Saccharomyces cerevisiae S288C: one gene and its partner. The protein of the gene in region 1 interacts with the protein of each later gene in a biochemical or structural test. Each region holds a gene or a part of one and is shown in the gene's direction. Other genes may lie near its edges.

The links. Proteins that work in one complex are often made in the same cells at the same time.
Region 2: of the proteins of ERV1 (region 1) and CYC1, one has a biochemical effect on the other in vitro, tested with the Saccharomyces cerevisiae proteins (2 studies listed by BioGRID, with this or other methods).

What each region holds. Positions count from the first base shown.
Region 1 is NC_001139.9:537,110-544,836, forward strand, and holds ERV1 (flavin-linked sulfhydryl oxidase), read left to right. Parts: upstream 1-6,443; coding exon 6,444-6,529; intron 6,530-6,612; coding exon 6,613-7,096; downstream 7,097-7,727. Other genes in the region: YGR027W-A (gag protein), read left to right, coding at 1-270; protein-degrading AAA family ATPase MSP1, read left to right, coding at 5,094-6,182. UniProt on the Saccharomyces cerevisiae protein: FAD-dependent sulfhydryl oxidase that catalyzes disulfide bond formation. Required for the import and folding of small cysteine-containing proteins in the mitochondrial intermembrane space (IMS).
Region 2 is NC_001142.9:523,888-530,386, forward strand, and holds CYC1 (cytochrome c), read left to right. Parts: upstream 1-2,447; coding exon 2,448-2,777; downstream 2,778-6,499. Other genes in the region: ANB1 (translation elongation factor eIF-5A), read right to left, coding at 1,021-1,494; UTR1 (NADH/NAD(+) kinase), read right to left, coding at 2,997-4,589; ISY1 (Isy1p), read left to right, coding at 4,810-5,517; OSM1 (fumarate reductase), read left to right, coding at 5,974-6,499.

The sequences.
Region 1 (7,727 bases):
GGATCGAGAAACAGCAAACCTAATTACAGGAGAAATCTGAGTGATGAGAAGAATGATTCTCGCAGCTATACGAATACAACCAAACCCAAAGTTATAGCTCGGAATCCTCAAAAAACAAATAATTCGAAATCGAAAACAGCCAGGGCTCACAATGTATCCACATCTAATAACTCTCCCAGCACGGACAACGATTCCATCAGTAAATCAACTACTGAACCGATTCAATTGAACAATAAGCACGACCTTCACCTTAGGCCAGGAACTTACTGAATCTACGGTAAATCACACTAATCATTCTGATGATGAACTCCCTGGACACCTCCTTCTCGATTCAGGAGCATCACGAACCCTTATAAGATCTGCTCATCACATACACTCAGCATCATCTAATCCTGACATAAACGTAGTTGATGCTCAAAAAAGAAATATACCAATTAACGCTATTGGTGACCTACAATTTCACTTCCAGGACAACACCAAAACATCAATAAAGGTATTGCACACTCCTAACATAGCCTATGACTTACTCAGTTTGAATGAATTGGCTGCAGTAGATATCACAGCATGCTTTACCAAAAACGTCTTAGAACGATCTGACGGCACTGTACTTGCACCTATCGTACAATATGGAGACTTTTACTGGGTATCTAAAAGGTACTTGCTTCCATCAAATATCTCCGTACCCACCATCAATAATGTCCATACAAGTGAAAGTACACGCAAATATCCTTATCCTTTCATTCATCGAATGCTTGCGCATGCCAATGCACAGACAATTCGATACTCACTTAAAAATAACACCATCACGTATTTTAACGAATCAGATGTCGACTGGTCTAGTGCTATTGACTATCAATGTCCTGATTGTTTAATCGGCAAAAGCACCAAACACAGACATATCAAAGGTTCACGACTAAAATACCAAAATTCATACGAACCCTTTCAATACCTACATACTGACATATTTGGTCCAGTTCACAACCTACCAAAAAGTGCACCATCCTATTTCATCTCATTTACTGATGAGACAACAAAATTCCGTTGGGTTTATCCATTGCACGACCGTCGCGAGGACTCTATCCTCGATGTATTTACCACGATACTAGCTTTCATTAAAAACCAATTTCAGGCCAGTGTCTTGGTTATACAAATGGACCGTGGTTCTGAGTATACTAACAGAACTCTCCATAAATTCCTTGAAAAAAATGGTATAACTCCATGCTATACAACCACAGCGGATTCCCGAGCACATGGAGTCGCTGAACGGCTAAACCGTACCTTATTAGATGACTGCCGTACTCAACTGCAATGTAGTGGTTTACCGAACCATTTATGGTTCTCTGCAATCGAATTTTCTACTATTGTGAGAAATTCACTAGCTTCACCTAAAAGCAAAAAATCTGCAAGACAACATGCTGGCTTGGCAGGACTTGATATCAGTACTTTGTTACCTTTCGGTCAACCTGTTATCGTCAATGATCACAACCCTAACTCCAAAATACATCCTCGTGGCATCCCAGGCTACGCTCTACATCCGTCTCGAAACTCTTATGGATATATCATCTATCTTCCATCCTTAAAGAAGACAGTAGATACAACTAACTATGTTATTCTTCAGGGCAAGGAATCCAGATTAGATCAATTCAATTACGACGCACTCACTTTCGATGAAGACTTAAACCGTTTAACTGCTTCATATCATTCGTTCATTGCGTCAAATGAGATCCAAGAATCCAATGATCTTAACATAGAATCTGACCATGACTTCCAATCCGACATTGAACTACATCCTGAGCAACCGAGAAATGTCCTTTCAAAAGCTGTGAGTCCAACCGATTCCACACCTCCGTCAACTCATACTGAAGATTCGAAACGTGTTTCTAAAACCAATATTCGCGCACCCAGAGAAGTTGACCCCAACATATCTGAATCTAATATTCTTCCATCAAAGAAGAGATCTAGCACCCCCCAAATTTCCAATATCGAGAGTACCGGTTCGGGTGGTATGCATAAATTAAATGTTCCTTTACTTGCTCCCATGTCCCAATCTAACACACATGAGTCGTCGCACGCCAGTAAATCTAAAGATTTCAGACACTCAGACTCGTACAGTGAAAATGAGACTAATCATACAAACGTACCAATATCCAGTACGGGTGGTACCAACAACAAAACTGTTCCGCAGATAAGTGACCAAGAGACTGAGAAAAGGATTATACACCGTTCACCTTCAATCGATGCTTCTCCACCGGAAAATAATTCATCGCACAATATTGTTCCTATCAAAACGCCAACTACTGTTTCTGAACAGAATACCGAGGAATCTATCATCGCTGATCTCCCACTCCCTGATCTACCTCCAGAATCTCCTACCGAATTCCCTGACCCATTTAAAGAACTCCCACCGATCAATTCTCGTCAAACTAATTCCAGTTTGGGTGGTATTGGTGACTCTAATGCCTATACTACTATCAACAGTAAGAAAAGATCATTAGAAGATAATGAAACTGAAATTAAGGTATCACGAGACACATGGAATACTAAGAATATGCGTAGTTTAGAACCTCCGAGATCGAAGAAACGAATTCACCTGATTGCAGCTGTAAAAGCAGTAAAATCAATCAAACCAATACGGACAACCTTACGATACGATGAGGCAATCACCTATAATAAAGATATTAAAGAAAAAGAAAAATATATCGAGGCATACCACAAAGAAGTCAATCAACTGTTGAAGATGAAAACTTGGGACACTGACGAATATTATGACAGAAAAGAAATAGACCCTAAAAGAGTAATAAACTCAATGTTTATCTTCAACAAGAAACGTGACGGTACTCATAAAGCTAGATTTGTTGCAAGAGGTGATATTCAGCATCCTGACACTTACGACTCAGGCATGCAATCCAATACCGTACATCACTATGCATTAATGACATCCCTGTCACTTGCATTAGACAATAACTACTATATTACACAATTAGACATATCTTCGGCATATTTGTATGCAGACATCAAAGAAGAATTATACATAAGACCTCCACCACATTTAGGAATGAATGATAAGTTGATACGTTTGAAGAAATCACTTTATGGATTGAAACAAAGTGGAGCGAACTGGTACGAAACTATCAAATCATACCTGATACAACAATGTGGTATGGAAGAAGTTCGTGGATGGTCATGCGTATTTAAAAACAGTCAAGTGACAATTTGTTTATTCGTAGATGATATGGTATTGTTTAGCAAAAATCTAAATTCAAACAAAAGAATTATAGACAAGCTTAAGATGCAATACGACACCAAGATTATAAATCTAGGCGAAAGTGATGAGGAAATTCAATATGACATTCTTGGCTTGGAAATCAAATACCAAAGAGGTAAATACATGAAATTGGGTATGGAAAACTCATTAACTGAAAAAATACCCAAACTAAACGTACCTTTGAACCCAAAAGGAAGGAAACTTAGCGCTCCAGGTCAACCAGGTCTATATATAGACCAGCAAGAACTAGAGCTAGAAGAAGATGATTACAAAATGAAGGTACATGAAATGCAAAAGCTGATAGGTCTAGCATCATATGTTGGATATAAATTTAGATTTGACCTATTATACTACATCAACACACTTGCACAACATATACTATTTCCGTCCAAGCAAGTGTTAGATATGACATATGAATTGATACAGTTCATATGGAATACGAGAGATAAGCAATTAATATGGCACAAAAGCAAACCTGTTAAGCCAACAAATAAATTAGTTGTTATAAGCGATGCCTCGTATGGCAACCAACCGTATTATAAATCACAAATTGGCAACATATATTTACTTAATGGAAAGGTAATTGGAGGAAAGTCCACCAAGGCTTCATTAACATGTACTTCAACTACGGAAGCAGAAATACACGCGATAAGTGAATCTGTCCCATTATTAAATAATCTAAGTTACCTGATACAAGAACTTGACAAGAAACCAATTACCAAAGGATTACTAACCGACAGTAAATCTACAATCAGTATAATTATATCCAATAATGAAGAGAAATTTAGGAACAGATTTTTTGGTACTAAAGCAATGAGATTGAGAGATGAAGTATCAGGAAATCATCTGCACGTATGCTATATCGAAACCAAAAAGAATATTGCAGACGTAATGACCAAACCTCTTCCGATAAAAACATTCAAACTATTAACAAACAAATGGATTCATTAGATCTATTACATTATGGGTGGTATGTTGGAATAAAAATCCACTATCGTCTATCAACTAATAGTTATATTATCAATATATTATCATATACGGTGTTAAGATGATGACATAAGTTATGAGAAGCTGTCATCGAAGTTAGAGGAAGCTGAAACGCAAGGATTGATAATGTAATAGGATCAATGAATATAAACATATAAAACGGAATGAGGAATAATCGTAATATTAGTATGTAGAAATATAGATTCCATTTTGAGGATTCCTATATCCTCGAGGAGAACTTCTAGTATATTCTGTATACCTAATATTATAGCCTTTATCAACAATGGAATCCCAACAATTATCTCAACATTCACATATTTCTCATTCTCAATCTTCATGGTATCTTTTTTACACCGTATATGATAAAATACAAGTAATATAAATACCAGCCACTGGATGACATTGAAATTTTATTCTAATAAATGCATCAGCTCTTTAAAAACATTGCTATTTAGCTATTTGAAGCCAGAAATTTTCACAGATTACCATCCGATATAGTGTAACGGCTATCACATCACGCTTTCACCGTGGAGACCGGGGTTCGACTCCCCGTATCGGAGTGTTCTTTTTCTTACCTCTTGAAAAAGAGGTAGTAAAGTCAATATAAATTCTTGGCTGAAGTATTTCAATACAATTGGTCAAGGAAGTTATTATTTTTTTAATGACTTATATCTGTCCAACACAACAGGTTACACCATATAATCTCTATTTACTGGACAGGCGGAAATCGATAGTTTAGCTTTCCTAAAAATCGTTATATTATAGAAGCGTCTTGACACGTTTTCAAAAAAGGAAGAAGCAAGAACGAAAAGAGATAAGGATTCAAAAGAAAGGAAGCCCAATGTCTCGCAAATTTGATTTAAAAACGATTACTGATCTTTCCGTCCTAGTTGGGACTGGCATATCATTATACTACCTGGTCAGTCGGCTACTCAACGATGTTGAATCAGGACCGTTATCAGGTAAATCAAGGGAATCAAAGGCCAAACAGTCCTTGCAATGGGAAAAGCTGGTGAAAAGATCACCGGCATTGGCAGAAGTAACATTAGATGCATATGAAAGGACTATATTATCTTCTATCGTTACGCCAGATGAAATAAATATTACATTCCAGGATATTGGTGGCTTAGACCCGCTTATTTCAGATCTACATGAAAGTGTCATATATCCCTTGATGATGCCAGAAGTATATTCTAATAGCCCTTTACTTCAAGCACCTAGCGGTGTCTTGCTATATGGGCCACCAGGATGTGGTAAAACCATGTTGGCGAAGGCCCTAGCCAAGGAAAGTGGTGCTAATTTTATCTCAATAAGAATGTCATCTATAATGGATAAATGGTATGGTGAATCTAACAAAATAGTCGATGCAATGTTTTCATTGGCGAACAAGTTACAACCTTGTATAATATTCATTGACGAAATTGATTCATTCCTTAGAGAACGGTCTTCTACAGATCATGAAGTTACGGCAACCTTAAAAGCTGAATTCATGACTTTATGGGATGGCTTATTGAATAATGGAAGGGTTATGATTATCGGTGCTACTAATCGGATAAATGACATAGATGATGCGTTTTTGAGGAGGTTACCAAAAAGGTTTCTTGTTTCATTGCCTGGTTCTGATCAACGTTACAAAATATTAAGTGTTTTATTAAAAGACACTAAACTAGACGAAGACGAATTCGACTTGCAACTGATTGCAGACAATACCAAAGGATTTTCTGGGTCGGACCTGAAAGAGCTTTGCAGAGAAGCGGCCTTAGATGCAGCAAAGGAATACATAAAACAGAAGAGGCAGCTCATTGATAGTGGTACAATCGATGTTAATGATACTTCTTCCTTGAAGATAAGACCATTAAAGACAAAAGATTTTACAAAAAAATTAAGAATGGATGCTACAAGTACGTTGTCATCTCAACCTCTTGATTAAGGAAGGAAAATTAGAAAAAAAAGAAGAAAGCTTTTTATTCACGCATCATATCATATCAGATAAGCTAGTTTTCACATAATATGTGTATATGCAGTATACTCCTGTACATAACTTCCTTTATTTCTGCTTTATAATTATATACTAGTTATTTTTCTTGGGCCGCTTTTATTACGGCAACTATTCTATCAGGTTTAGTCATAATCTAAATCTAAAGATGGGGAAAAGCCAAAAACACTCAACTTTCAATGAATACAAAGCTTCATGAAAGCAATAGATAAAATGACGGATAATCCACCACAAGAAGGCTTAAGTGGGAGGAAAATAATATATGACGAAGATGGCAAACCGTATGTTGGATTACGCAAAGCAATTCAGGATCTACTGATCCAATCAAGCTTGTGATTTTTTATTAACAAATTCTCTATAATAGTTGCCGATCATGTAACACCCTACTTGACTTTCAGTACGTGACCGGGAAGATATCTAATGGCCTGAAGAACCTCTCATCTAACGGTAAACTAGCAGGTACGGGGGCTCTCACTGGCGAAGCTTCAGAGTTGATGCCTGGCTCAAGAACATACAGGAAGGTTGACCCTCCTGACGTAGAGCAACTAGGTAGATCTTCATGGACGCTGTTACACTCTGTAGCTGCCAGCTATCCTGCTCAACCTACAGACCAACAGAAGGGTGAAATGAAACAGTTCTTGAATATCTTCTCACATATTTATCCTTGCAACTGGTGTGCTAAAGACTTTGAAAAATATATCAGAGAAAATGCACCACAAGTTGAGTCAAGAGAAGAACTTGGGAGGTGGATGTGTGAAGCCCACAATAAAGTCAATAAGAAATTGAGGAAGCCCAAATTTGACTGTAATTTCTGGGAAAAAAGATGGAAGGACGGCTGGGACGAATAAGTACAATCTCAGAATTCTGAAGGAACACATAAAAGACAATTTATACATATTTACAGATTCTCGTGTATATAACACTCCAATCGTATTGATCAGTCATATGTTGGCTTTTTTATTTAGGCTTGAGCTCTAACTTTCCAGATGAATGACTTTTCTACTAATATATGTTAGGATTAATAGTTTTATATGTATAAAAATATTTAGTCAGTATTTAGCTAAAAAGTTTACTTTCAAAGAATTGTCATGTTTGCAGCTAGTGCCTCTGGTCTTTTGAGTATTCCCAGCCCTTGTTTAGAGGTCATCAAGAATGAACTTGAAATTAGCCGTATCAGTGGTATTAACCTCTTCTAAGAAGAGCAGAAAAAGAAAAAAATCTCCGCGACGGGGAATTGAACCCCGATCTGGCACGCGACAAGCGCCCATTCTGACCATTAAACTATCACGGAAGAAATATCTGTGAAATGTGACTCTTATAGCATACTATTTTAGTTATGAATTGTGAAAATCCTCCCTGTCCTGCGTTCTACAATTTATTTAGTACTTGTTTGGCAAAAACGTCTCTCAGTGCCATTTACTTTGTAAAAAGTGCAGACTACATCGCATCAACGGTCATATTAGGAGCCACTTCTATTTT
Region 2 (6,499 bases), on another chromosome or scaffold:
ATACGTACATTTACGGTAAAAAAAAAAAAAAAAGAAAAAAAATTGATCTTGATACATACGTTGGTATTTTACTTTGAAGACTGTGCATTGTGTATGTACGAAAAGAAAGGGAAATAAAAAATAACGACAACTGCAGGACTCGAACCTGCGCGGGCAAAGCCCAAAAGATTTCTAATCTTTCGCCTTAACCACTCGGCCAAGTTGCCTTTAATCTCTTGAGTTTGTTTAAGGACAACACTGTCCACCTGGCATGGGAATATTACCATTATTCCAGATTCGGGCTTGTTATTAGGACTTTTTACCAGCTTGATTTACCGGTCATTACTTATCCTACACATCATACATCACAACTACACTTGGTGAAGAAATCACAGAGCCTTGGATTTGTAACAATTATATGTTTACGCAATTTATCTTGGGAAAGCAGGGCCTCATTTGTGGACATAGCACGGTCTGTCACCCTCGTCGTGCAAAAAATATTTTGACTTCTACTCTTTTTGAAGTTTCGTTGATCGGGTCCCTTCCAAGGAAAAGTCGAATGCTGTCACTGCGCATATAAAGGCGAGAACGATAGTGACTGTGATATTAAGTTATTGTCATCATATAAGTAATTTTTTCTCTGATATCTGTAGCCCTAGTTTTTAATATTTTCGTAAAATGCTCAAAAAAATTTCTGTTTAAATTCTTCTGGGGTATATACACATGTTCCCGTCAGCTAAATTAAAAAGAAGAAGGAACCGAAAGAAGGCAAATTATAAAGTAATCATCCTCGGCATATTGAGGGGAAAATATCCGTCAAAAAAAAAAGTTCTGCACGTCGTCATAAGTGACTATGGTATCAAACACCAATTAACACGAACGTAGCGATAATGAAGGCAACTTCGTAGCTGAAACAGAACGAAGTTAGTTAGGATGAATAATTATGATTATGATTATTATAATATTATATAAAATGTATAAATAAGATTTCTAGATCAAAAAAACATCGCGTATTTTGTAAGCTATAGAAATCTAAAATATCTAATCAGATCTTGGAGCTTCCTTGAAGGAGATGGCAGCTTCTTCACCCATGGCAGAAATGATAGTGACCATCAAATCCTTACCTTCATCGAAAGCAGCTTGCATGCTGTCACCCAATTCACCTTCTGGTGCCTTGACATCGTCTTTGGTTTCACCGTCCATGGTCATCAAGGACAAGTAGCCATCATCAATATCCAACAATTGGTATTCGCTTCTCTTGACAAATGGAACTTCCAAGTTGTGAGTGGATGGAGACAAATCTTCCAACTTCTTACCAGTGAAGATATCAAGGGTAACCAAATGGACCTTGGCGTGACCGTGCTTACCGGTCTTGGAAGTGGACATGTCGACAATCTTACATGGTCTACCTTTGATGACAACGAAACCATTCTTTCTCAAGGCAGAACATTGCATTGGGTAGGTGGCGGAGGCACCAGCGTCAGCATTTTCAAAGGTGTGTTCTTCGTCAGACATGTTTTAGTGTGTGAATGAAATAGGTGTATGTTTTCTTTTTGCTAGACAATAATTAGGAACAAGGTAAGGGAACTAAAGTGTAGAATAAGATTAAAAAAGAAGAACAAGTTGAAAAGGCAAGTTGAAATTTCAAGAAAAAAGTCAATTGAAGTACAGTAAATTGACCTGAATATATCTGAGTTCCGACAACAATGAGTTTACCAAAGAGAACAATGGAATAGGAAACTTTGAACGAAGAAAGGAAAGCAGGAAAGGAAAAAATTTTTAGGCTCGAGAACAATAGGGCGAAAAAACAGGCAACGAACGAACAATGGAAAAACGAAAAAAAAAAAAAAAAACACAGAAAAGAATGCAGAAAGATGTCAACTGAAAAAAAAAAAGGTGAACACAGGAAAAAAAATAAAAAAAAAAAAAAAAAAAGGAGGACGAAACAAAAAAGTGAAAAAAAATGAAAATTTTTTTGGAAAACCAAGAAATGAATTATATTTCCGTGTGAGACGACATCGTCGAATATGATTCAGGGTAACAGTATTGATGTAATCAATTTCCTACCTGAATCTAAAATTCCCGGGAGCAAGATCAAGATGTTTTCACCGATCTTTCCGGTCTCTTTGGCCGGGGTTTACGGACGATGGCAGAAGACCAAAGCGCCAGTTCATTTGGCGAGCGTTGGTTGGTGGATCAAGCCCACGCGTAGGCAATCCTCGAGCAGATCCGCCAGGCGTGTATATATAGCGTGGATGGCCAGGCAACTTTAGTGCTGACACATACAGGCATATATATATGTGTGCGACGACACATGATCATATGGCATGCATGTGCTCTGTATGTATATAAAACTCTTGTTTTCTTCTTTTCTCTAAATATTCTTTCCTTATACATTAGGACCTTTGCAGCATAAATTACTATACTTCTATAGACACACAAACACAAATACACACACTAAATTAATAATGACTGAATTCAAGGCCGGTTCTGCTAAGAAAGGTGCTACACTTTTCAAGACTAGATGTCTACAATGCCACACCGTGGAAAAGGGTGGCCCACATAAGGTTGGTCCAAACTTGCATGGTATCTTTGGCAGACACTCTGGTCAAGCTGAAGGGTATTCGTACACAGATGCCAATATCAAGAAAAACGTGTTGTGGGACGAAAATAACATGTCAGAGTACTTGACTAACCCAAAGAAATATATTCCTGGTACCAAGATGGCCTTTGGTGGGTTGAAGAAGGAAAAAGACAGAAACGACTTAATTACCTACTTGAAAAAAGCCTGTGAGTAAACAGGCCCCTTTTCCTTTGTCGATATCATGTAATTAGTTATGTCACGCTTACATTCACGCCCTCCTCCCACATCCGCTCTAACCGAAAAGGAAGGAGTTAGACAACCTGAAGTCTAGGTCCCTATTTATTTTTTTTAATAGTTATGTTAGTATTAAGAACGTTATTTATATTTCAAATTTTTCTTTTTTTTCTGTACAAACGCGTGTACGCATGTAACATTATACTGAAAACCTTGCTTGAGAAGGTTTTGGGACGCTCGAAGGCTTTAATTTGCAAGCTTCGCAGTTTACACTCTCATCGTCGCTCTCATCATCGCTTCCGTTGTTGTTTTCCTTAGTAGCGTCTGCTTCCAGAGAGTATTTATCTCTTATTACCTCTAAAGGTTCTGCTTGATTTCTGACTTTGTTCGCCTCATGTGCATATTTTTCTTGGTTCTTTTGGGACAAAATATGCGTAAAGGACTTTTGTTGTTCCCTCACATTCCAGTTTAGTTGTCGACTGATACTGTTAATAAACTCATCGGGCGAGGCTTCCACGGTTGGAAAAGCATATGGGCTGGCGCATATGGTTATAAAATCACCTTTTTGCAATTCAATTCTATCTTTCCCATCAAAAGCCGCCCATGCTGGAGCCCTTGACTTCATCGAGACTTTCACTTTTAAATTTATACTTTCTGGTAAGATGATGGGTCTGAAACTCAATGCATGTGGACAAATGGGTGTTAAAGCGATTGCATTGACGGTTGGGCATACCAATGACCCACCTGCACTCAAAGAATAGGCCGTGGACCCAGTCGGAGTAGCAGCAATCAGTCCGTCCGCCTGCGCAACGGTCATTAATGAGCCGTCACCATACAATTCTAACATGGATAGAAAAGGACTTGGACCACGATCGATGGTCACTTCGTTCAAAATGTGGTGTGTGCTTAGTTTTTCCACCACACATATTTTCTTCCCCGTGTTTGGGTCTACTTCAGGGCGGTGTCTACGATAAATTGTGCACTCCAACCTCAACCGTAAATTTGTCTTGATTTTATGATTCATAATCCGAGGTAAATCCTCCCTGAAATGTTCAAACTTAAAATTTGTTAAAAATCCTAGAGACCCTAATGAAAACGACATAACGGGTGGTACATGTCTCTGAAAAATGGAACTTACAAAAAGAACAGTACCGTCGCCACCCAAAGTCACTACCAAATCGAAGAAAACATCATGTTCCCTGATGAAATCCTTTGTCCAATACTTGATCCTTGATTCTCTACATTTACTATCTTCACATAACTCGCCAGCGGCAAATTTTTTGCTGTTTTTCAATTCGGAATCCACATAAACAGTCACACGTGGAAAATGTACCAAAACCCATTCTACCAACTCTCTTGTTAAGAAATACAGTGAGACATCGTTGAGTTTCGTAACAATCATCAAATTTTCCACATCCAGTTCCACTTTGGTATTAGATATATCTTTACTCAACATTCTTACACCATACGCCGTGGAGGCATACTGAAAGTGTGTATTACTACTCTTAGAACTTCCTCTTGTTCCGTTAATGCTCGTACCACCGCCACTGTTTGCATTGCCGTTCACGAGAGATGAATCTTTATTCAACAGGGAGCTTCTGCGCGAGCTGCTTTCACTTGATATTTTCCTCAACATTTCTTTGGCGTTGTCGATATCCTGAGTTCTATCAATTTGCTCATTGTTCATCATGGCCTTCTTCATCAAGTTATTATTGTTGTTATGATGATCATTTCGACCATCTTCCTCATTTACCCATTTATCTACGCCATTATTCATGTCATTCTCCTTCATCTCAAGAGCTTTTACTCTACTTATTTAGGGAGCCTATTGTATTTTTTTTTGGCTTACGATCACGATGTCAATGATCATTTGCCCTATTATACCTTTTTCTCCGTTCTCTTTGCGTAGTGCGGTGAAATAATTTCAGGATGCATGAAAGAGCAAATAAAAGTGACACACCGTTATATCGCAAGGCGCACCACATCAGTAATCAGATACCTGTGCATTCAAAATGAGTAGAAATGTAGATAAGGCCAACTCAGTTCTGGTACGATTTCAAGAGCAGCAAGCAGAGTCGGCAGGTGGATACAAGGATTATTCACGTTACCAGAGGCCCAGGAACGTGTCTAAGGTAAAATCCATAAAAGAGGCCAACGAATGGAAGCGACAAGTAAGTAAAGAGATAAAACAAAAAAGCACAAGAATATATGATCCGTCTTTAAATGAAATGCAGATTGCGGAACTTAACGACGAACTTAATAATCTTTTCAAAGAATGGAAGAGATGGCAGTGGCACATTGACCATACACTTATGGAAAAAAAAACCAAGAGGAAAAGGTTAGAAGACAGTCATGTGCTGATGAATTCAGGAAAGCTGATAAATGGTAAGAGATATTTTGGAAGAGCCCTGGAATTGCCTGAAGTAAAAGAATGGCTCAAGCAGTCTCAAAGGCAGAATGATGGGGGTTCTATAAACACCAAATGCATACCGAAGGATAGAAATGATTTTTATTACCATGGCAAAGTCACAGCCGCCTTAACCGAATTTGAGGCTAACTGGACATCCATTTTGAAAGCACATTATAATGTGCCTGTGAATGAAGATGAAGAAGAAATGTCAAGGCAGACACAAGAAATCCATGTACCAACTCTGGCAGATATGGAGCATTGGTTAGTGCAAAGAAGAAAAAAGAAACTAATGGATGAACTTAACCTTTAGCTATGGAAAATTATTCAAACATTTAGAAGAGGCACTATTTCGAATGACCATCACAAGCATTATAATCTTCAAACATGTCCGAGCTGCAGATATGAAGTAAAATAGTGATCGGGACTCATTTTTTTTTCTTCTATGATATCATATTGTCCCGTTCGTTATTAAATGTAATTCTTCCACCGTACTAGTTATCGAAGGCAAGATCTCCTTTTTACGCTTAGGTAGATTACATAGATTTCATAATGTACACCAATACAAATGTATCTTATACACTCGTCAAATCTTATATGAATCATGCAGGAGTAGCTCTCGTTTTCTTTTTACGAGCTACTTGAAAAAAAAAAACTAGCGAAAATCCTTTGCTTAGAAATCCAGATTTAAAACAAAACCGCCGAAAAGGGAAAGATTTTATGATAGGAAATACCTTAATAATTCTATATCATCCCGAGTCTTAGGAAAATGATTAGATCTGTGAGAAGGGTTTTCATTTACGTCTCAATATTCGTATTGATAATAGTTTTGAAAAGAACATTAAGTGGCACAGATCAAACGTCAATGAAACAACCAGTGGTGGTCATTGGCTCTGGTTTGGCAGGCTTAACCACAAGTAATCGTCTCATTAGTAAATACAGAATTCCTGTTGTGCTTTTGGATAAGGCGGCTTCTATTGGTGGGAATTCTATAAAGGCTTCTAGTGGTATTAATGGTGCTCACACAGACACTCAACAAAATTTAAAGGTAATGGACACTCCCGAATTGTTTTTGAAAGATACTTTGCATTCGGCTAAAGGCAGAGGGGTTCCATCACTGATGGATAAGTTGACTAAGGAATCCAAGAGTGCTATCAGGTGGTTGCAAACAGAATTCGATTTGAAATTAGACCTCCTTGCGCAATTGGGCGGTCACTCTGTTCCAAGGACCCATAGATCTTCTGGCAAATTACCACCAGGTTTTGAAATCGTGCAAGCGTTATCAAAAAAACTAA